Linked DNA regions of Struthio camelus. The protein of the gene in region 2 interacts with the protein of the main gene of each other region in a pairwise test. Links are inferred from orthologs where the notes say so. Each region holds a gene or a part of one and is shown on either strand. Other genes may lie near its edges.

Region 1 (7,354 bases), on a different chromosome or scaffold from region 2:
CTTGTAGGTAGTCTAGCTGCTAGCTTGTGCTTTAGCCTTCTCACGTGTCTGGCCTCAAACTCTACTTGTGGTAGAAGTGTTCTACCAGCGTGAAAAGGAGTTTCTCCAAGGTGCACCTGAGCAAAGATTCACGTGCAGTTGATGCACGTGAAATGTGCTTTACAATAAAAGAGGAGACTTTCACTGCAATGTCACTGGGGGATGCTATTACCTGTGCTTGTGAAGGATCACTCCGATTGATGTTAGCAAAAGTGTATAACCTGGTTTTAGCCCTGTTTAGCCTTCTCTCAAATTTATAAGCAGTAGTAGGAACATGTGATACTGTCCAGTTCTGCACCCAGGAACAGACTTAAGAACTTCTTACGGGTGATCTCAGCAGGTCAAGGTGATGAATATTCTAGATGATTGGCTGCAGTGCAGTTTTGGGGTCTCTAATATAAATGTTGAAGTGTTGACTTGGACACTTGTTGGATTTCCAGGTCACAAAGCAATAGGGTGCAGGTATGGTGACTCGGATCACTAAGACAATCTGTATCTTCAAGGTTTGTTATTTATGCCTTTTCAGAGGTGAATATTAATTTATGGATGTAATTTTTTTTTTTAGATAGTGTTTATGACCGTGAAGGCCATTAACATTTTTTTGGAAGATAAGTGAAATTCTGTCTTACAATTATACATCTAAGGTCTGCAGTCATGCTCTGTATCTGGAGTAGTTCCTAATATACAGCAGCTTGTATAATGCATGTGATCTGTTGTCATTTATTTTAATTTGATATTGTCTCCATAAAATGATCTTCTGCAACCTGAATTCTCTGGATAATAACTGAATAGTGAGGCAAGTCAGAAGAAAAATGTGATTTCAGTTATCTTCCCTATCTTCTGTTGTTGACAGGCAGAAAAATGTTTCCCTGGAGATGGTGATCTGCATATGTATTTTGGCTTTCCCTGTTAGGTGGCAGTGTTACTTCTGTGAACAGTGAGAAACTCCTTTAGGGTCCTGTGTTATTCTGGACACTTGCTGAAGGCTAACTATCCTTCAACGGTTCTCTGTTGTATCTGGGTTTGGGACAATGTTGAGTGTGTGGGTGATTTTTTTTTTCATGTTTATCTTGTAATAAACAACCCTATTGCAGAATTAAGATGATGCACACTTTCTGCATTGTGTTGAGATCATCAAACTTAAAGTGAAATTACTAGGTTCCTGCCATATGCTGATTATTTTTCAATGACTGTTAACAATTAGTCAAGCTTGAATATAGTCAGGACCTTGAGTACTGGTTATTGAGTCTGAAGGAGTTTACTGAATCCAGCTGGTTAGGGGAGGGTCATGCTTATGCCGTACTAATACCACTTCTACCCTACACTTCAAAGTTAATTCAGATTTTTAAAAGGGGGGAGAGGTGAAGCTGAAGAACAGCAACTTCCATTTGGATACTCTAATATGGAGGAAAAAGTGTCCAATTTGGATTGGGAGTATCAGTCATAAAGATGTGGCTGGAAGTTATTCCTTTGCATGCAGAGTTAGGGGAGGATTTTACTTTTCCTAAAAGCCATCTTAATGAGCTTCAAGAGAGAGACTGGATGAAGTCCTGCTTCTTGCCCTGTGCTTGCTGAGGCTGGGCCTAGTCCTTCATGTGATAAGATAGTAACTGTCCATTGAGGAAGAACAGAAAAATAAGCATTGTGGACCTAGCCGGCAAGCATTACAAAGTGATTCAAAGGAGGGCTTGAATAACCTCTAGGCTGTGTGCCTAAGAGCTGCTTTGTGTTGTGCTTGCAGAGTGTAACTTGCTGTCTTTGACAAGTAAATTTTGATGGGTCCCTCTCTGAAGATGGAGGAAGCATCTCTTTAAGATTTGGAAAGCAAACCCTAAAGTATTAACAAGCTAATGAAGTACAGTTTTGAGGTATGGCTCTGGGCTGTGAACAGCAACACGTGAGACCCAAGGACATATTCTCTTCTGCTGACTCTGCGCAGAGGACTGGAGGTGATAACACTTTAAGACTGCAGAAGCTAGACTCGTGGAAACTCATCTTCTATGGACCTTAGAACAGCTCTTTTAAGCTGCTCCAGCTTGCGTTTGTTCCAGTGCCCTCGCAAGCAATTCCTTCATCTGCCCGAGATGGCTGAGCTCTGAGTGTACAGCTCTCCTCTCAGCATATCAGACCTTTATCTCTGATCTGGTCTAACAGTTTTATGTATAGCTACATCTATAGGTGATGAAAGCCTGGATTAGAGAGTTATGCCAATATAGGCTGGCCTTATGTTAGTAATGTGTAAGAAAAGCTGTGCCAGCTGGGGTGATCTGCAGGTGCAGGGGCAGTGAGCTCTGATAAACACTGCCATGTCAACAGAAACCTGAGCATCAGCACAGTTTCTGTTGGCAAAAATGGACTTTTTGCTAGTTTGCTTGTTTGTTTTTTTTACCAGCATAACAGGATTTCTTTGGGGAGATTTCCTTCCACTGGCATGGTTTTGCAAACAGCCAGGGCTGCTTATCAGTGTTGTTTACCCCAGAGGCATACTGACATATGTAAAGCTTTATTGTTGATTCTAGGTCATGTTAGGACTGCTCTCTGGTGCTGAATTGATACAGCTGGATCCTTTCCTCCTCTTTAAACCTCTGCTTGACCTGGGGGTTTTGGATCTGAAGTCCAATAGATCTAAGGAATTGCACCAATAACATCAGAAAGAGCAGGCAAGAGAGGTATTGGCGTGTGCAAGATTTTTCAGGAAAGGTGAGGCAGAAGGGAGAAGCAAATAAATCACTGGGGGCATTCTGCTGTATTAGCAGTAAAATTTCCTTGATCCGTGTCCCATTTATATAATTAAAATAATATGTTGGAGAGCTGCAGAGCTTCCATGAATCGGTATCTTTTCTCCCAATCTGTGTGTCTGAATAGAGTTCTTTGGAATTATGGCCCCAGTCCTGCAACCTGATCTGCATGTAGAGGATCAGGGATTAAATCACTAAATTAGAAAAGAGTTCCTCATGCCTTTCATCAAAAATTGGTTAACATTTTATCACATAATAATAGTAGTAAAAAATATCTTTTGTCTGAGCATGCAGTATGTAGTTAATCAGCTTGCCAGGTCTAATTCAACTCTACTTACTTCACTTTTCTATTTTCTAATTAAAGGGACCTATATTGGAAATGAAGGTTTTTACCTGCATTTTAGTTATAAAAGTGAAGCTGAGGAGTTTACTTTTCAGTATGCACACAATTCTTATTGAGGCAAGAAAAATCCATTAAGTTAGCCTTGAAAGTTTAAAGGCAAATTATTTCCCTTTGGGATAAACTCTACAAGGGGGAAAAAATGTTAGAGTCTAGTTAACTTTTCCTTTTAATTGGCGACACTTTTAATAATTGGAGCAGTTGGTCGGTTTGTTTGTTTTTTTTTAAATAGATGCGAACTTTCATGTCTCCTTTTACCAAACGCGTACGTATCCATTAACGTTTTGAGGTCGCCCAGGTTCCATGCTGATTCACTGAAGCGTTGCATCAGCATAGTCCAGCTTTTGTCGCAGCCCATCTGGAGGAACATTAAACACGGCTCCTTGTGCAACGTTGTCATTCTATTTCTGTTGTTTTTTATTTTATTTACGGTAGCTCTAGAAATAGCCTGCCCTACTTGTAGTTGTGCTGTGGGCTTTAAAACATTCAGCATAGAAGCTGCTTTAAACGCAAGACGGAAGAGACTGAGAGGCTCGTTAGGCGAGAAACGATGGAGGCAGCCGCGTGTATGGCAAGTATCCGAGCGGTACAGGTAAGCCTGGTTTACTGCGGAGGGTCACGGATGCGGCCTGCGCGCCTGGCCGCGCGGTGATCCGCCTGCCTCCAGCCTCGCTGCCGGAACCGACAGTACCGTTTGGGATATACTTGAGACGGGATCTTCGAGACTGCCTGGACGTGCCGGGCCTGGCGCTCGCCCCGCTCCCCGGGAGCCGGCCGGAGCGAGGCCCGCGGGCTGCCTGCTCGCTGTCGGCGGGGCACGGCCTTCCTGTCAGCTGCAGAGCACCGGTGCTATTTATAGAGCTAGGAGCCACTGCGGCAGCTGTGTGCTGATTCAGAGGGGAAAATTCCTTCTGCGAGGGGCGGAAGCCGCCTCCAACCTCTGCGGCGAGCGTGAGCGCTGGAAAGCCGCGTGGGGAAAGGGCCTCCATCACCTGAAGGTAATTAGGGGGAAAACAGAAGGAAAGGACGACGTCCGGCCTGCTAGCGGTCGGGCGCTCCTCTCCCCTCAGCCTCTTCCCTTCCGCGCGGAGGCGCCTGCCCGTCCTCGTGACCCCACCCCCGACGCGGCGGCCATCTTCCCGCGGCCCCGCCCCCGCCCGGGCGGGGGCCGGCCGCTGTCGGCCAAACACCGCCTCTTCGCGCCTCCCCTTTAAGGAGCGTTGTGGTGACGTCACCCGGCCGGCTGCGGCTCCCGCTCGAGCGCAGGCCGGGCCGCCGCCGCGCGCCAGACGCCGCCGCCGCCGCCATGCCCTCGGACCGGCCCTTCAAACAGCGCCGCACCTTCGGTGAGCCGGGGCCGGGGGGCCGCGGCCGGGCTCGGGCTCCCCTCCCCTCCCCTCCCCTCCCTCCGCGGCGGGCGCCGGCCGCAGCCCCCGAGCAGCCGGAGCCGGAGGCTGCCCCGCGGCCCTGCGGGGGGCGGCGGCCGGCGGCGCCGCAGCCGCGCGCTGATGTAATGCCGGCCGGGAGCCGGGGGGGCGGCGGCGGCCGTTGGCTTTAACGGCTGCTTTTTGACGGGCCGCCGGCCCTCCAAGCCCGCTTCGCGGGAAGGAGCTGGAGCCTCGGCCTGGGCGTTCCCGGTGCCTGCGCACGGGAAACCGGAGCGCGGCTCGGAGGCGACACGAGCGGGTCGTGTGTCCGTGCCCTTAGCAGTCACCGCGGGGGGGGGACGAGGAGGAGGGAGCCCCTGAGCTCAGGCCTGTGCGAGCGCCGGGAGCGTTCAAGTGCAGAAGTAATAAGCGCCCTGGGGACCTGTGACATCCGTGCCGTAGCCAGGGGCGCGGGCGCCAGAGCTGCTCTGAGCTGGGGGACTGTAGCGCGCAGGTAGGTCTGAGCTGTAACGGTGGCATCCGACTGGCCTCGGAGGCCTGGGGGAGCCTTGCTGCTTGTGTGTCAGCAAAGCCTTTGGGGCCGGGCTTGCGAAGTCCCGTGCGAGATGCTTGTGCGCTGAACGCACAGCCGCGTACGTAAACGACCGGGATGTATTTATAATGACACGCATGTAGTGTCTGCCGCAGGAATGCGGTTATGAACCCGGGAAGGTAACCAAATCGCCTACTTACTTTTTATAGGCCCTTCTGAACATATGTCATTCTGAATAGCTAGCCTCCAAAGGATAAATGCTGTTGCTTTTTATCAAAATATTCGTATCCTTGTCTTATATCACCTTTTGTTGTTGTACTTGACTAGGGAGATACTTGCTGAATAAGCCCCCATGTTTAAAGCATGAAATAATACATTGCTCCAGAGTAAGCGTCATCCCAAGGGTAGCTGCTGTAAGTGAGGGCAAGAAATGTGTCTTTTGCACCTGGCTGAGTCATCAGCCTCCTGTGTGACTTTTTTTGTGTCTCCATTGGAAGAAGTGGGGTAACTAACGACCGTTTTAGAATGGGCTTTAAAGTCTACAGAAAAGAGTAGTAGTCAAAAGCTAAATGTTCTTGTTTCATGTTTGCCCTGGGTCCTGTCTTTAAACTTGTGACTGTCAGAGAACAGTAATCTCTTCAGAAATTACTCTCCCTGTTCCCTATCCGGTTAGCGTTAGAGTCGTTATTGTTCCGAGGGCTTGATACACCTCTTAAATTTTCTGAGTCTTAAGAAAACTCAAATGCTGAGACCATACCCATTACTGTGTTGAAGTGTACTTCGTGGGAAAACTCAAATGACAAAAAGGTTTCCGTAAATGGTACCAGCTTTGATTGCCAAACTTGATAGTGAAATCAGATGAACGTGGACTTCTGTTTCCCTTGACCTTTTCCAGCTGGCATTGGGAAACATGCATGTTTCTGTTGGATTAATTCTGAGGGGTGGGAGGGGAGTATCAGTTGAGCATTGCTGTCTGAATAATGCCAAAGTCAATGTCTTCAGGCCAAATAAGGCCGCCTTCTGTGTCAGATACTGCCCAAACAAAGGTGAGGGTGTTTTCTCTGTGAATTTAAAAATTGGAGTTTTTTCCTACTGAACTGTGGATCCAACCCCTTGCTGCACTCTTGGAAACTGTAAATATTTGTTAATTTATTATCACGACCCTTCTGGCCTTAAAACACTTCCCCAGCCTTCCCATGCTGCAGCAACCAATCCAAGCAAATGTGCACAAACAGGAATAACATGAACTCTGGGTACCCTGGGATACTTTTTTGGGTCCCTGCTGTATCTTGTATTTTCTTAAGCTGTATATTAAAAGCCAATAAAGTTCTGAATTAAACCCTTAGCAGCTACTTACTCTTAAACTGGTGAGAGCCAGCTTCTTATGGCCAGAGTTTGGTTTCCCCTTTGCAAATTGCTCAGCTTTTCTACAAGCCAAAGGAAAACAAAATCCAAGGCTCAGAGGAGGTGAAAGCAAGCAGGATTAAAATAGCTCAGAAGGGACAGGGTGGGGGATGAGGGAGTTTGGTGCTGGCAACTGCAAGTGCTCCTTGTTTCTGTGTACTTTCCTCTGCCCTTTTGCTCTCTCAGCTGACTGGTTTGCAGAATTCTCCCAGGGGGAGGGGAAGGAGGAGGCGGCAGAGGCCTGGCAGCCCACGCAGTTGCTTTGGGTCAGGGCTGGAATTGCTCGGCTGGAGAAAGTAAATACATCTTGTTTTCGTCTTCAAATCATTACACAACAGGAGCAGGAAGTGATTGTTTACAATGCAGTTGGAGAGAACTGATGGAAAATACCTCCAGCTACACTGTATATTCAGAATGGCTTAATTTTTAAGGCTTCAAAACTACAGAAGTGGAACAGTTCCAAAAAAACGGAGAAAAGGCAGAGTCAGGAGTATGACTGTTTACAAAAACTGTTCTGGCTCCAGTTGCATGGCAAATGGCTTGCTTGGATCTTGGTCTTGTTTTGCCGCCCATTCCTGAAGATTCCACTTTCCTCAATGCCTGTTTCCCCCTTCTTGTATATTAGAGACTGAGATTTATTTTTCTATGATTTTCTTCTGCTTGTTGCTCTGCTTGCTGTGGGGTCTGTTCTAAATAAGCTTTCCATATTCATATTCATATTGAGGAATTGGAAAAGGCACTGACTGGGAAACTCTGAGGGCTCAAGTACACTGAGGACAGGGAGTGCTGGCTTCTCGTGTGATCTGAAGTGCCATAAACGGTGAGAGGGTGAGGCTCTGTGAGCTGATCCAGT
Region 2 (6,990 bases):
TGATCATTAACTGACCGGAAATTCCTGACCCAGGGATCGCTCACGCCTTGTGCTGGCCTGGGCGCTGGACTGAGGTCCAGGGCTTCTGGGGCTGCTCCCACAGCCCAGTGAATCATGCTCTGGGCTGCCGCAAGTGACTCCGAGGACGTGGCTGTGCTCCACCTCCAACAGCAACAACACAACACGCTGGAGCCGCCCCGCAAAGCTGGGGTAGCCAGGACCCTACGCCCAGGCTTGCTGAGCTACGGATGGGTTGGCAGGGAGTCCTGCTGCCGCAAGGACCAAAGGGCAAAGAGAGAGTATCACAGCCCAGAGATAAGGGCCCCACCAGCTCAGACAAGCTCGGACATTGTACCGTGGGTGCTAGCACGCAGGGCACCATGCCGGGATATCCAGCCCTTACACAGGAGCACCACGGTTTGCAGTTTTGCATGGCCAAGAGGAGAGCCCTGCAAAGCACAGCTCAACAGGATCGCTAGCAGCGCTCAGGGCAGCCTACCTTGTTCGAAGGCTCCAGTTTCAAAGCCGCCTTTAAGATGGGGATGGCCTCTCTGTATTCCCCCTGCTGGGCCAGGACCTGGAAGGCGAGACACAAAGCTGAGCAGGGCACTCGGGGTCCATCCCTCACCCCTGCCCTCTGTCCTGCCGTGGCCGGGCTGTGGAGAGTGGAAGGCAGAGCCCGCCGTGCACCCAGTCTCACCTTGCCCTTTCGGAAGAGGGCCTTGATGTTCCCTGGCTGGTGCTCCAAGACGAGATTACAGGACTTCAGGGCTGCCTCGTAATGATCCAGTTTGAGCTGAGAGGCTGCCAGGTTGTTGAGACATTTCACCTTCACATCTAGCAGCTCGGCCTCCTCCTCGGGGCTGAAGTTGACTGCAAGGATCCCAGAGCCCAGTTACGCCAGGAAGGCAGGAGCCCGGCCAGCCCTCCTCCCTGGGCAGGCCTGCCGATACCTTTTGAGCTGGAGTCGATGACCTTGAGGGCGATGTCGTAGGAGTTGATGGCCAGCACGTAGTCTGCCTGCTGGTAGTAGAAGTTGCCGCGCTCTCTCTTGCGGTTGGCCAGTGCTATCTTCTCCTTCCCGTTGAGCAGCTCTAGGTCCGGCGCGTCCCGAGCCTCCAGCAGCTCCACCTCCAGGAGGAGGGCTGCGTTGGGTGGGATATCAGGGCTCCTGCATCAAGGAGGGCACTTCTGAGGGCTTTTGCAAAGCGAGGGCCTGGCTGACGGCTGCCCCCTCTGCCAGTTCCCCCAGCCAGGCTGGGCCATGGGGATTTAGGGGATTTAGCACTACTTGCATCTCACCAAAGCCGCAGGCTGCTCCAAGCGCCTCCGGTCTGCCCTTCCCCACTCACCTGCCCTGGGGGCCGTAGCAGTACTTTGCATCTGACATGATCAAGGCTGTTTCTCCCATTTCCAGGAGCTGCACACACAAGTCCAGAGCCTACAGAGACCAATTTTGTGGAAGGAGGTGAGCAAAGGTCCTGCCCCTCCAGAGAGGGAAGCCAAGCGGCTGCTTCCCACTGGCAGACGAACTGCGCAGCTGGGGATGTCGCCGACTCCAGACCCTGCCAGCCGCCCCTACTGCCCCAGGCCCGGGGCAGCGAGGTGCCGCCCAGCGCGGTAAGAACAACACAGCGATAAACCAGGGACAGCGGCAGGGCAGAACTGGGCAATCAGCCTGCAGCACCCACATTCGTTTCTTTACGTGGTCTGGAAACAGGGTGCTGAGTTAAACCCCCCACCATCCCCAGTCAGCAGGAGGCCCAGGCTAGAGGGAGCAGGCACAGGAGCCCAGTGCTGCACCTCTAACTGTGCTCTCCTCCGCAGCCTGGCCGCAGGGCTCGGCCTCCCGGCTCTTACCTGCAAGACATCGCAGTCTCCCAGCGTGAAGGTGAGGCTGGGGTTCTCCTCCACCACGCTGCCGTCCTCCAGCGTGGCCTTCAGGCGGACAGTGACGTCCTGGCCCTTGCGTGGCCGGCTTTCCACCCCCTGACCCGGCACCAGGGTCTTCTTCTTGAGCAAGCCGCTCCCTGGGCAAGGAGAAGGCGGAGGCACGTCAGCCCACCGCAGCGGCAGGGCCCTGCACGGGGAGGGGAAAGGGAGACGGCCTGGCTCCGAGCCACGTCCCCCGGTTTCCAGCAGCGATCCCCCGCACCAGCCGGCCTTTCTGCTGCGAGAAGCGCCACCATGTCACCCCGTCGACCATCCCACCACCTCCACCCTAAGCGACGGATCCCCACAAACCACGGCGGAGCCCAGCAGCAGCCTCGGCCCCTGGCACCGGCTCAGGCGCAGAGCTGCCTGTCCAGTCCTTCCTGCGCTGCTGCTCCCAGAGTGCCTGAAGAGCTGTGGGGAAGCCCACCTCCTCCGACCTCCCCTGAAGAAGCCCGTTCAGCTCCGTGAGCCAGCTCAGCGCCTTGGACAGGAGCAGAAGATGCAGAAGTTTCCTCTGTAGGCTCTTACCCAAGACATCGAGCCATTCCTGAGGGTCCTCAGCTGCTTCCCCTGGGGCCTGCTCTGAGGACTGGGAGTCCTTCGCTGGGGTCCTCACCCGGCCCATGTCCTCCAGCGGGGGCAGCTCGCTCAAGTCATCATCATCATCTTCCAAGACCTCAAAATCCTCCCCGCTGTCAAGCGGGGATGTGCTGGCTCCAGCGAGCTCCGGGCAGGACAGGTCCGTGCCGCTGTCCGCCCAGTCCGGGGAGCTGCTGCTCTGCTCCTCCCCGCTGGAAGCCATTGCCGCAGAGCAGGGAGAACAGCAAGCTAAAGGGGAAAGACATTCAAGAGGTTGGTCCTTTGTTTGCCAAGGGGATGAACGCAAATGCCAGCCCTCCCCCAGCCTGGACAGAACACTGCAAGCGGTGACTAGGAACAGGACAGATACCACCAACCCTGCGCCGATGGAGAGCTGCAGCCGTCGCTCGCTCATTCGGACCTCGCACCTCAGCCCCCAAAGAGAGCAGCCAGCAATAGCAGATCACGCTTTCCTTTCCCGTAAGGTTTTGGGGGACCCTCCCCTGCTCTGCCGGGATGCACTGACAGGCTGAGCCGAGCTGCCAGGTGCTCTGGCCTGTTTCTGTGTATTGAGACACCTGCGTGCGGGGCAAGCGGGTCTCCCCGCTGGCCCGGCAGCTGGAGGCTGCGCAGCAGGCAAGCGCGAGAGCCTGAGCGGCAGCCCCAAGGGCCGCCCCGGGCGACGCTGCTCTCGGCGAGCTGGACAACCGGAACGTGGTCCAGGCCAAAGGCCTGAGCGCCCCGGCAGGGCCGAAGTCCGGCTTCCCCAGGGAGGCGAGGGCCTCCGCGGCAGCGAGGCCTGGCGGCTGCTGCTGCCGCCACCTTCCCGGGCGCTTCGCCGGCCCCGCTGCAGCCTGTAAGCGGCGCTGGAGCCGGGCACGGGCGGGTAGGAGACGCCCCGGCGACGCCGGGCACCGGCGGAGACTCGGCAGCGGGCGCAGCCGCCCGACGCGACCCCCGGAGACCCCCGCCGGCCGGCCACGTGCTCTCCCCCCGCCCCGGCCGGGCGGGCGCGCGCGCGCGCCCCCACGTCACCGTCGCCGTCACGCGCCGAGGACTCCCCCTAGCAACGGCCGCCGCCGCCGCGCGCCCCCCGCCGCTCCCACCTGGCCCGCGAGTCAGCTGCCGCCGGCCCCGCCCCGCCGCTCCCATTGGACGGCCGCGCCGCGCCAGCGCCAACGCCATTGGGCGGAGCGAGAGCTCGTCACCGCACCGCCTTAAAGGGGCCGCGGGGCAGCCCCGGGCGCAGGGGCAGCTGCCGGCGCCCCGAGCGGGCCCCGGAGGCCTCTCGCGCTCCCCGCCCCGGGGTTATTTATACGCCGGTAGCAAGTCCGGGCCCGCCCGTCGCGGGTCTCCGCGGCCCCGGCACCAGCGGGGAGGGAGAGGAGAGGGGGAGGGATGGGCCTTACCGGGCGCGGGGAGGCCCCGCTTCTCCCCTCCCGCGGGCCGGCGGCCGCCGCTTCCGGCCGGGCGCCGTGACGCAAGGGCGCGCTGACGTCACGGCGTCGCGCGCTGCGTGACCCGCGTCCCGGAAGCGAGGCGAGCGAGCGCGCGCGCCGCCGGTGCCGCCGCCGGTGCCTCCCCGCCATGTGAAGCCGCGGGGACGGGCTCCCCCAGGTGCGCGGGCCGCCGCCGCCGCCGGGAGGCCCCAGCCGTTACCGGGCCGCGCTGCGCCGCCGCTGGGAGGCACCGGGCCCGAGTAGCCCCTTTAACGGGAGGGGGAGGGACCCTGTTACCGGGTGGGGGGGGGGCGGCTCCAATACCGGGAACAGGACGGCGGGAGGTTCCGTTAACGGAGGAAGGAAGGGCACCGTCACGGGAGGGATTCGGTGGGGCCGGGGGAGGCTCCGTTACCGGGGCCGAGAAACGGCAGAGCGAGGGGGTGTTTCCCTAACGGGGGCCGGGATATGGCGGGCGGGCGGGCGGGGGGGGTCTCTGTTACCGGGGCTGGGATGCAGTTGGGGGGGGGGGGGCTCCATTACCGGGAGCGGGATAAGACAGGCTGTGGGGGGGGGTCTCCGTTACCGGGGCTGGGATGCAGTTGGGGGGGGAGGGGCTCCATTACCGGGAGCGGGATAAGACAGGCTGGGGGGGGGGTCTCCGTTACCGGGGCTGGGATGCAGGAGGCGGGTCCTCCATTACCGGGAGTGGGATGCAGTTGCAGGGGGGAACTCGGTTACCAGGGCCAGGATGCAGTTGGGGGGGGGGGGTGTCTCTGTTACCGGGAGCGGGAGGCGAGTCGAACCCGTGCCGGTCCCGCAGGCGGCGGCGGGCGCGATGGAGCCCACGGCCTCGCGGGTGTTCTGCGGCCGGGTGATGGGCATGGTCAACGCCGAGGACGTCAACGCCATCATCCAGGCCCAGAAGAACATGTGAGTCGCCCCAGGGTGACCGGTCTCCCCTGGGGACCCAACCCCGCGCTCACGAGTGCCCCGGCTCCGGGCACGGCCCTGGCAGCGAGCCGTGCTGGGCGGGGGGGGGGGGCGGTCTCGCCAGGCATCTTCAGAGCCCCATTTTCGCTCTGAGCAGGTTGGATCGATTCGAGAAGACCAACGAGATGCTGCTCAACTTCAATAACCTGTCCAGTGTCCGCATGCAGCAGATGAACGAGCGGTTCTTGCACCACACGAAGACGCTCGTTGAAATGAAAAAGGACCTGGATAGCATCTTCCGAAGAATCAGGTGGGGCCAGGGTCAAGGGGCTGGGAACGTCCCCCGGGGGTGGTGGGGGAAGAGAGAAGATGCAGAAACCAAAGGGTCTCTCTTCACCTAGAGAGATCACGGAGCGCTGCTGTCTGCAGAGAGGGGTATTAAAATGTGACACCCCTGTATGAAGGATCTTGGACCGTCACAGAAACCAAAAACAGGTGGAGAGAGAAAAACACATAGCAGAGCAAACACGTGGGTGTGGGGAGAGGCACTGGTTGCTGAGCTCGGAGCTTTAGGAATCCCAATTTAGGAATCCCGGCTTTGCAGCTGGGCCAGTGACTCTCTGCACTCCCTCTGCGTCAGCAGGGAGGGACGCAGCGCTCGCGCTGCTCAGGAGGGTTACGAAACTTGGGGTTTGCAGAAGTACCCGGTTTCCTGACAGGGAAGCTGTGGGAGCTCTGGCTAACGCTGGAAGTTTTGACTCCGAGGGCAGGGAGCCTCTTGGCACAGTGCTGGGCTTCCTGGGGAACAGACGGGGAAGACGCAACGTTCCCCAAAGAGCTAACTAAAGCGGGAGGCGCCTGCTGGTCTGGCAGCCGGGCGTCAGAGGATGAGGGATGCGGTTCAGCTCTGGAGCGACCCCCGAGGCCAGCTGTGCTGAGGACTCACCAGCCCGCCGCTGGGGGGGATTTGTCAGCTCGTGCGTAAGCCTGGCTCTCTTTTTCTCCTCTGCTCTTGCAGGACGCTGAAAGGGAAGCTAGCTAAACAGTACCCAGAAGCCTTCAGCAGTGAGTGATTCTTTGTTATTAAATCTGACTTGCAGCTTTTATGTCAGCTTGCTTTCAGCGTGAGGAGTCCTTTTCCTAAGGACACATGGCTCAACTTTCTGGGGTTGAGACCCCTCTAAAGAAAGAAATAATGAGACATCCAGGCATGTGCCAGCTCATGGTAGCTGCAGTGAAAAGTTTGGAGAGCTTTTTTTATTCTCTTAAATATGCTTTTAAGAGGTTACAAAGCCACAAATAACTGATGTCACCTAAATTAGTAGCCATCTATTGATTACTGTTACAAGCAGTCAAACCTTTGAATTAGAAGGGAGCAAACTCTTTGCTGTGCTTATGTTAGAGCGTCTCTCATACCTGGTGTTACACGGGCTGTGTATTGTTGTCACAGATGGCCAAAGCAGTAAAACTAACTGCTGCGTCTTCCCTTTCAGACATCCACGAATCTCCGATTCTAGATGACGATGATGATTTTGACCCTGTTCCAAAAAGCACGACAACCACCATTGCTACCTCTGAGCAGAGCACGGAGTCTTGTGACACAAGCCCTGACATTATCTCTCCAACCATGAGTCAGGATTTTGAGGATTTATCACAAGGCCAGTACGATTCACCGGCTGTGAACGGACAGAGTCTAACAGATGAAGAAGCTGCCAATGACCTGGACTAGGTGTACTGATACTGTACAGCCACAGCCAGCTCAGCTGCCTGGCCTGTGGAGAACTTCCTGTCCTGTATTTATATTTGTGTGTTTCCTTGGCCATTACTGTTTTGGGAAGAGGGAAGTGAAGGCTGAGAGGTGACGGCTGAGTGAAGAAGAGACCCCCTTCTGCCTCTAAACTGCCACCGTAGTGCATACCCTGCAACCTGATACAGGCAAATAAGTAAAACATGGATTTGAAACGCCTTTTGTCCTTTCTCATTTGTGTGTTCAGGAGAGCAGCAAACCCCTACGTTTGATTTAGACTTTGGCTCTTTGGAACAGAAGAGCGCTCTCCACAGCTCGGGGTGTGGGTGTTTTTCTTGGGAACGTAATTTGTTTGAG

Evidence for each region. The genes of interacting proteins can lie anywhere in the genome.
Region 1: the proteins of KXD1 (region 2) and MAP1LC3A interact in binary tests that used the Homo sapiens proteins (3 or more experiments, as listed by UniProt). The two-hybrid records come from large-scale screens. The link is inferred for Struthio camelus from reciprocal best matches to the Homo sapiens genes KXD1 and MAP1LC3A.

The regions. Positions count from the first base shown.
Region 1 is NC_090959.1:3,825,955-3,833,308, forward strand, and holds the start of MAP1LC3A (microtubule-associated proteins 1A/1B light chain 3A), read left to right. Parts: upstream 1-4,342; 5' UTR 4,343-4,483; coding exon 4,484-4,523; intron 4,524-7,354. UniProt on the Homo sapiens protein: Ubiquitin-like modifier involved in formation of autophagosomal vacuoles (autophagosomes). While LC3s are involved in elongation of the phagophore membrane, the GABARAP/GATE-16 subfamily is essential for a later stage in autophagosome maturation.
Region 2 is NC_090967.1:5,912,424-5,919,413, forward strand, and holds KXD1 (kxDL motif-containing protein 1), read left to right. Parts: upstream 1-3,972; 5' UTR 3,973-4,131; intron 4,132-4,776; 5' UTR 4,777-4,791; coding exon 4,792-4,886; intron 4,887-5,043; coding exon 5,044-5,196; intron 5,197-5,904; coding exon 5,905-5,951; intron 5,952-6,379; coding exon 6,380-6,615; 3' UTR 6,616-6,848; downstream 6,849-6,990. Other genes in the region: peptidyl-prolyl cis-trans isomerase FKBP8, read right to left, coding at 500-577, 701-873, 954-1,171, 1,353-1,441, 1,861-2,030, 2,464-2,763, 3,621-3,699.